2 linked regions of the Callithrix jacchus genome follow. Each later gene encodes a partner of the first gene's protein in a complex. Links are inferred from orthologs where the notes say so. Each region holds a gene or a part of one and is shown on either strand. Other genes may lie near its edges.

Region 1 (3,802 bases):
CAGGCTGTTCTTGAACTCCTGACCTCGTGATCTACCCACCTCAGCCTCCTGAAGTGCTGGGATTACAGATGTGAGCCACCATGCCCAGCCTTTGCATTCTTTATCTCTCTTTTTTTTTTTTTCTGAGACCGAGTCTCTCTTCACCTCCTGGGTTCGAGCAATTCTCCTGCCTCAGCCTCCTGAGCAGCTGGCATTACAGGTACCTGCCACTACTCCTGGCTATTTTTTTGTATTTTTATTTATTCATTTTGTTCCTTATTCTAATTTTTTGTATTTTTAATAGACACAGAGTTTCATCCTGTTGGCCAAGCTGGTCTCGAACTCCTGACCTCGTGATTCTCTTGCCTTGGCCTCCCAAAGTGCTAGGATTACAGGTGTGAGCCACCACGCCCAGCCTTGCTTTCTTTATCTCTTACCTTCCCTGAGCCATCTTGTGCCTGAAGACAGATCATGGCCACTGAAGGTGCTCTATAACACTTGTTGAATAAGGGATTCTATTGCTTCTTTCCCTCCAATTCCCATTTTCCCTCCACCTGCTACTCTGTTATCCACTGGCTCTGCCCATCCATGTGTACACAGGCCTGACACCTCAGACAAGGTGGTTCGTGAGGGATGCCCGAATAGCTTACCTTGCCTCCTCTGTTTCCGTCTTTGCTCCATGTCTTCTGAGTCAGTATAAGCTGCTGGTTATTAATAAGTGACCCTGAGTCAGAGTGTTTGGATTCAAGCTCCACTCCTGCCTCATCAACGGATTCAAGCATGTTTCCTTAGCTCTTTAAGGAAAAGCTCTTCATCTGTTAAACCAGGGTGTGATAGGAGCACCTACCTCCTAGGGTTGTCACAAGGATTACAGGAGGCCACGTACACTGGGCCTGGACTACAGTAAGTGCTCAGTACCCTTGACCCAGAGTTACTATTTTTTCATGTCAATCGATGCACAATCTTACTTCTTCTACCTACTGTCTTGGCCAGCATCTGTCAGTGTGTCTGTCTGCTGGGGAGATGCAGGGAGAAGACTGTCAATTGATCTTGCTCCCTGAAATGGATCAGCTGCCTCCAGCTTTGTGTACTGTCCTCTTCTCTCTGCTTTTCCCCAGGGCTCCCTGTGCCTCTACTTGACCCGACACACTAGTGACTGGGGAAGTTCCCTGCGGATGGCACTGTCCCTGGCCCAGGGCCTGGCATTTCTCCATGAGGAGCGCTGGCAGAATGGTGGGTGAGCTGGGAATAGGGAGTCAAGGGAGCCACACTGCTATGTTTCTGATTCTCTCTTAGTTTGGAGGGGAAGGATTGGGTCAAAAGAGAGACAAATAAGATCCATGTTCTTCCAACCTTGGAATTCCCCCACAGGCCAGTATAAACCAGGTATTGCCCACCGAGATCTGAGCAGCCAGAATGTGCTCATTCGGGAAGATGGATCCTGTGCCATTGGAGACCTGGGCCTTGCCATGGTGCTTCCTGGCCTCACTCAGCCCCCTGGCTGGACCCCTACTCAACCACAAGGCCCAGCTGCCATCATGGAAGTGAGTTCTCCGGATAACCGGTGAGGCCCAGGATGATGGTGGTGCTGCTGATGGCAGTGCTGCTGTTGTGTGTTAATAGTTGTAGCAATGCCTGCAGCATTTGAGACACTGCTGAGTCTGTGGTTGCGGGGATATTGCATGGACCATTGCTGCAATGAGGGTTGCCACAGAGATGATTCTTGGCCCTTTGTGCCTTGCTCTTCAGGCTGGCACCCAGAGATACATGGCACCAGAGCTCTTAGACAAGACTCTGGACCTACAGGATTGGGGCATGGCCCTCCGACGAGCTGATATTTACTCTTTGGCTCTGCTCCTGTGGGAGATCCTGAGCCGCTGCCCAGATTTGAGGCCTGGTAAGGATGGGTGGTACCATTCCCCTCCCTGGGTACTCCCTGCCCATTCTAGGTTCACCCCAACATGACCTGGTCCCAAGAAAGCTCTGCTCTTCCCCCTCTTGGCTTTTCTACATGGTAGGCACCCCTAGGGCTAACTGACACCCATCCCCTCTACCTTTCTCCAGACAGCAGACCACCACCCTTCCAATTGGCCTATGAGGCAGAATTGGGCAGTACCCCCACCTCCGATGAGCTATGGGCCTTGGCAGTTCAGGAGAGGAGGCGTCCCTACATCCCATCCACGTGGCGCTGCTTTGCCACAGTAAGAGGCCCAGGCTGTTGGGCTGGGGACCTGGGGAGTGGGGGCTGGGCATGGGCTTCAAGAATGTCTCTGCCAGGGCCAGTCTGTCTATTCATATCTCCTCTAATCTCCCATCACTCCTTGTTCAGGCTTAGCTGGAACTGGGCAAACTTGCTCTCTCCCTCAGTTCATCTTCTTCCACTCTAAGTCTCACACAGTCCGTTCCATCTACCTGAGACACACACCTTCCTCCTGCTCAGCCTTGCCTAGCCTGCTCTTCTCTCTACCATCAGTTAGCTCTGTTCCTTAGTCCCCTCCTCCAGGAAGCCCTCTTTGGCTTTGTTCTTGCTCTGAGCTCTGCCCTGTCCACTCTCCTGTCAATTCAACAAGTCCCCATTCTGTCATGCATTGATAATGTTTCTGCTGTGACCCAATAAAAGGCAGTTCTGGGTATAAAGGGTGAAAGCAGTGGCCTCACAGTGAAAATTCCAGACTTTGCATCAATACTTTTTTTTTTTTCTTTTGAGACAGAGTTTCACTCTTGTTACTCAGGCTGGAGTGCAATGGCGTGATCTCGGCTCACCACAACCTCCACCTCCTGGGTTCAGGCAATTCTCCTGCCTCAGCCTCCTGAGTAGCTGGGATTACAGGCACGCGCCACCATGCCCAGCTAATTTTTTGTATTTTTAGTAGAGACAGGATTTCACCATGTCGACCAGGATGGTCTCGATCTCTTGACCTCGTGATCCACCCGCCTCGGCCTCCCAAAGTGCTGGGATTATAGGCATGAGCCACCACGCCCGGCGCATCAATACTTTTTTAACAGAATGTCCCTTCTCTTGCTATCTGATCTGAACTTTCCACTGCACAAGTCAGGTAGGTTAGCTAACAGAAACCAGGCATTACTTGCAGAAGACTCTGGTTCTCTGAGCAGAAAGAGAGTAATTTCCCATTAGCATATTAAGCTGTCAATCTATATTAGCTCCTCAGAGGAAATGGTGGGCTGTATGGAAGGGCCCCAGAGAGCCTGTTTCATAGAGAACAAGACTCAGAGGCCTGGAGTTTAGCAAGAGGGAGAGGAGGGAGGCTCCAGGAAAATCGGAAATGGAGTGTTGAAAACAGGAGAGTGATGGACATTGAAGATGCCTTTTAACCCTGAGGCCCACTCAAGCTCCCTAGGATCAACCCTCCCCCTGTCATTCCTCCCAGGACCCTGATGGGCTGAGGGAGCTCCTAGAAGACTGTTGGGATGCAGACCCAGAAGCACGGCTGACAGCTGAGTGTGTACAGCAGCGTCTGGCTGCCCTGGCCCATCCTCAGGAGAGCCATCCCTTCCCAGAGGGCTGTCCACATGGCTGCCCATATCTCTGCCCAGAAGACTGTACTTCAACTCCTGCCCCTGCCATCCTCCCCTGTAGGCCTCAGCGGAGTGCCTGCCACTTCAGTGTTCAGCAAGGCCCTTGCTCCATGAATCCCCAACCTGCCTGTACCTTTTCTCCCATGTAAATATGCAATTTATGTATAGTCAATGTACATGCCAACATAAATATGGCAATTGTATAGCTGTCTTGTCTGTCTCACCACTGCCTTTCCCACCTGCCGAATCCTTGGACTCTTCCACAGGCATCCAGTCCATGGCAGTT
Region 2 (3,902 bases), on another chromosome or scaffold:
CCCCAAGGCGGCCCCGCGGGCCTGCATCTTCAGCAGCAGCACCACGTGGTTGCCGTAGCGCGGGTTGCGGTCGGACTGCGGCCAGCCGCACGCGCCCTGGCAGTTGTTGGCCTGGTAGGTCTCGGGGATGAGGACGGAAGGCTCGGCGCGGAGGTCCACGCTGAGCTCGTGCAGCGCGCACGGCCCGTCGGCGGCGGTGGCCCCCGCGCTGCGCTGCGCCCGCCCCGGCCCGCGCGGATCCCAGCCGCGCCACTCCGCGCGCAGCCCCTGCAGCGCCTTCAGGAGCAGCAGCGCTCGCAGGGGTCCGCCGGGGCCGCCTGGGCAGAGCGCGAGAAGGCGCGCCAGCAGCGGGGCTGCGGCCGGAGGCAGACCCGGGAGGCCGCGCAGCTCGGCAGCCGCCGCCTGCAGCTCGGCAGTCACGCGGCGCACCAGGGCCGTGGCCCACGGCGCCGACGCGGGTTCCTGCAGGGGCGCGGGGTCCCCGGAGGCGGTGGCCGCGGCGGGCGGCAGCAGCAGCAGCAGCGGCTCCTCGCCGTCGAGCAGGCGCTCCAGCTCCGCGGGGTCCGACAGGTTGACCAGACCCTGCGGGAAGCCGGACAGCGCATCCGGGTCCAGGGCCAGGCGCGGCGTCGAGGCCCGGGCCGGGGAGCCCCGCAGCGCCCGCACCAGGCGCGTGAGCGTCTCCAGGAAGGGGTCTGCGCTGGGCGGCGACTCCTCGAGCTCCGCGGATGGCCTGGAACCCGCAGTGGGGAGAGTTGGGGGCGGGCGCGAGGCCACGCCGCCCCCGCCTGCTCCTGCCCCATGCCCCCGGGCCTGCGCGCCCCTGGGTGCAGGGAGGGGCACGGTGTCCAGCTGGCCGTGTGCGGGCAGCGGCGCGGGCTCGGACCGCGGCAGCAGGAGCAGGGCCGGGGTCATCCGCGTGAAGCAGCGGCGGTCGTCGCCGAATAGCAGCGCCTTCAGCCGGGCCGTACTCAGGGGGGCGCCTGCGGTGGGGGGGCCGGGGCTGGCTCAGAGGCTGGGGGCCGGGGGCAGCCGACCTAGCGCCCGGTCCCTCTCCACCCGGACCTACCCTCTCCTCGAGGCTGCAGGGTCAAGGCCAGCCCGGAGCCGCGCCAGGCTCCCGCGGGGCGGTCCACCGCCAGCACCAGGTAGTGGGTGTCTCGGGACGGGCAGAGGCTCTGCGGAGAGCAGGGCTCAGCCCGGCTGGGTGGAGGCTTACCCCTTCCTCCCATCGCCACTGGCTCTAAGTTGCTCTCAGCACCGCAGACCCGGCAACATATCCACACCCCTGCTGCGCTGCGGAACTGCCCCATGAAACTCCCTGGTACCTGGGAACCCAGCAGCCCAGCCCTCATCACAGTGACCTCGGGGCCAGGCCCAGGGTACAGCACCAGCAGCGCCAGCTCCGGGGGGCCAGCTCCTCCAGGCGGGGGCTCCTGGAACCTGAGCGAGGGTGTCGGCTCCCATGTCACTGCAGCCGGGACAGCAGGGAACACCTGAGCCATTGAAGGCCAGGAGCCTCCCACATCCCTCTGGGGGCCTTTGGGGTCCATCCCTGCCCTGGCTGCTGTGCAGGGGACCTCGAGGGGGCACGAGGGTGACTCTCTTCACTGGCTTCTTGCAGCCAGGGAGCGGTGACAACCGGGCGGGCAGGTGCCGAGTCTGAGGCTGTGGATGGGGCTGCCCCCCATGGTCTCTGGGTTGGGGCTCCCAATGAAGTCCTTTCCCCTTAGGGAGTCTCCCAGGGTAGTGGCCCTAAGAACAGGCTACCTGGGTATGGGGCTATGGGGAGGAAGGTCCCTGTGCTTCTTCTTCATGGGTGGCAAGATGGGCACACCTGTCTCTCTGGCACTGTGGCAGGCACAGGTCTGAGAACTGGGCTTCAGGGACAGGACAGAGTGGTGCCCACCTCCCAGGCCACAGATCCACAGCCCAGACCCAGGAGCAAGACCACAGCCTCCTGGTCCGGGGTGGGGGCTCTGCCAGCCCCCAATCTTCCCTAGGACCACCACCAGAAGGCTGGCGGTGCCAAGCTCAGGGCTGGGCCCCACGTACCTTCCTCCAGGTGCAGGACCACCAGGCGCTGCCCCCCAGGTCCCCGAAGCCAGGCCCCCAGCCGCTGCAGAGAGAGCAGGGCAGCCTGCCTGTCTCCGGGGCTGCAGACCCCAAATGTGGCCAGGTCTTGGGGGCCCCAGCGGGCCCGCTGCACGGCTCCCAGGAAGGCCTGCTCATAGCTTCTCAAAGTCCCCACCACCCGCAGGGGGGTGCCGCTGCCATTGCTGTCCCCACCCAGTGCCACTAGGCACAGAGGTTCTTGGGGGCTGCCTTGCGGCCAGTCCACCTCTTCAAAGATGAGGCCACCAGTGGCCACAGCTGGCTCCTCTGCTCCAAGGGTCTCAGTCCCTAGCAGAGCCCCCAGGGCAGACAGCACCAGGGCCAGGCGGGTGAGAGGCGTGCCCCCCATTGTGGGTGATGTGAGGGGCTGGGCTGCCCGCCTTAAGTGGGCCAAGCGGAAGGTGGGTGTTTGTGCAGGCGGACGGGCCCTTATCTCCTCTGCCGCGACCTTGGGGGACACTGCCGGGCGCCCACACTCCAGGCAAAGTGGCCTTCTCAAAGATGCCTTTGTCGCCGGCAGCCTATCTCCCTCCCCGGCAGTGATAGAACTGGGCCTAATGTGTCAACAGGCTGTCCTTGAGGGCCCGTCCCCAGAAGGCACAGGAGTGCAGCCAGACTACAGTGGTGGTGGTGGGGAACCAGATGTCCCGGGTGCTGGGCGTCGAGGAGGGTCCCAAGTCAGCAGGGGCTCCCTGTCCCCTGTTCACCCTCCCCACCCCTAGTGGGCTATCTGGAGACCCCAAGGGCAGGGGCTCCCTGTCCGGTTCACCCTCCCCACCCCTACTGGGCTATCTGGAGACCACAAGGGTATCCTGGAGGCTGCTCTTCCTTCCCCAGGACATGACCCCAGACATACTCCTAGCCGACTGGTGGGGTCTGTCCTCCACCAGGCCACCTCCAGGGCACAGCTGCCTCTCAGGCTCCCATGGGTGTCTCCTGGTGGGCCCCAAGCCCTCCCCAGTCGCCCAAACTTGGGATGGTGCCCTGCCTGGCACTCCCACACGGCATTCACACGGAGGGCGGCGCTGCAGAATCCGGGCACTCAGGGCTGGGGGAGGCGGTTTAATGAGTGGGGACAGTTACAAAGAGCAGCCTTCCCTCCCTGGGAAAGGCAGGAGCACCTGGGCCGGGCTTGCTGGGAAGGGAGCAGCTTCTCAGTTGGCTGGGGGAGGGGGAGGTATGTTCCCTGGGCCTTCAGAGGGGAGTGGGGGCCTCAGCATTGGGGGCATGGGAGTTGGGGGGTGTACCCCAGGATTTGAGGGGTGAACTCCAGGAGGCTGAGGGTGGACCCCAGGAGCTGATGGATGGACCCCGGGAGGTTGGGGGTGGACCCCTGGGGCCTGAGGGTGCATCCCTGGGGCTGGTGGGTGCACCCCCGGGGCTGGTGGGTGCACCCCCGGGGCCTGAGGGTGAACGGCCGGGGCTGCTGGGTGCACCCCTGGGGCCTGGGGGTGAACTGCTGCTGGGGGAGGGTGGACCCCCGGGGCTGGTGGGTGGACTCCGGGGGCTGGTGGGTGAACCCCGGGGGCAGGTGGGTGAACCCCGGGGGCTGGAGGGTGGACCACAGGGCCTGGGGGATGGACCCCAGAGGTTGGTGGGTGCACCACAGGGGCTGGGGGATGGACGCCAGGAGCTGGGGGATGGACCCCAGGAGCTGGGGGATGGACCCCAGATGTGGGGGGGTGCACCACTGGGGCCGGGGGGTGGACCCCTGGAGCTGGCGGGGGCAGTTGAGGTGGTCCTGGGGGCCCTGAGGGCGCAGGCCCTGTGGGGGGCATGGGTGGCAG

The links.
Region 2: the proteins of AMHR2 (region 1) and AMH are in contact, whole or in part, in a crystal structure (PDB 7L0J), measured with the Homo sapiens proteins. The link is inferred for Callithrix jacchus from reciprocal best matches to the Homo sapiens genes AMHR2 and AMH. Residues at the interface, in NP_065434.1 of Homo sapiens: Gly31, Val32, Arg33, Gly34, Ser35, Thr36, Thr38, Leu39, Phe62, Ile64, Glu75, Met76, Arg80, Asp81, Ser82, Glu84, Pro85, Ser95, Arg97, Ala98, Pro100, Ser101, Leu106, Thr108; in NP_000470.3 of Homo sapiens: Leu471, Arg472, Glu474, Val477, Leu478, Ile479, Pro480, Glu481, Thr482, Tyr483, Gln484, Lys534, Leu535, Ile537, Leu539, Glu542, Arg543, Ile544, Ser545, Ala546.

Annotation. Positions count from the first base shown.
Region 1 is NC_133510.1:66,118,732-66,122,533, reverse strand, and holds part of AMHR2 (anti-Muellerian hormone type-2 receptor), read left to right. Parts: intron 1-1,097; coding exon 1,098-1,212; intron 1,213-1,350; coding exon 1,351-1,523; intron 1,524-1,728; coding exon 1,729-1,876; intron 1,877-2,043; coding exon 2,044-2,180; intron 2,181-3,368; coding exon 3,369-3,665; 3' UTR 3,666-3,802. UniProt on the Homo sapiens protein: On ligand binding, forms a receptor complex consisting of two type II and two type I transmembrane serine/threonine kinases.
Region 2 is NC_133523.1:2,130,687-2,134,588, reverse strand, and holds the start of AMH (muellerian-inhibiting factor), read right to left. Parts: upstream 2,475-3,902; 5' UTR 2,465-2,474; coding exon 2,056-2,464; intron 1,472-2,055; coding exon 1,070-1,471; intron 984-1,069; coding exon 1-983. Other genes in the region: SF3A2 (splicing factor 3A subunit 2), read right to left, coding at 3,270-3,902. UniProt on the Homo sapiens protein: Plays an important role in several reproductive functions. Induces Muellerian duct regression during male fetal sexual differentiation. Also plays a role in Leydig cell differentiation and function.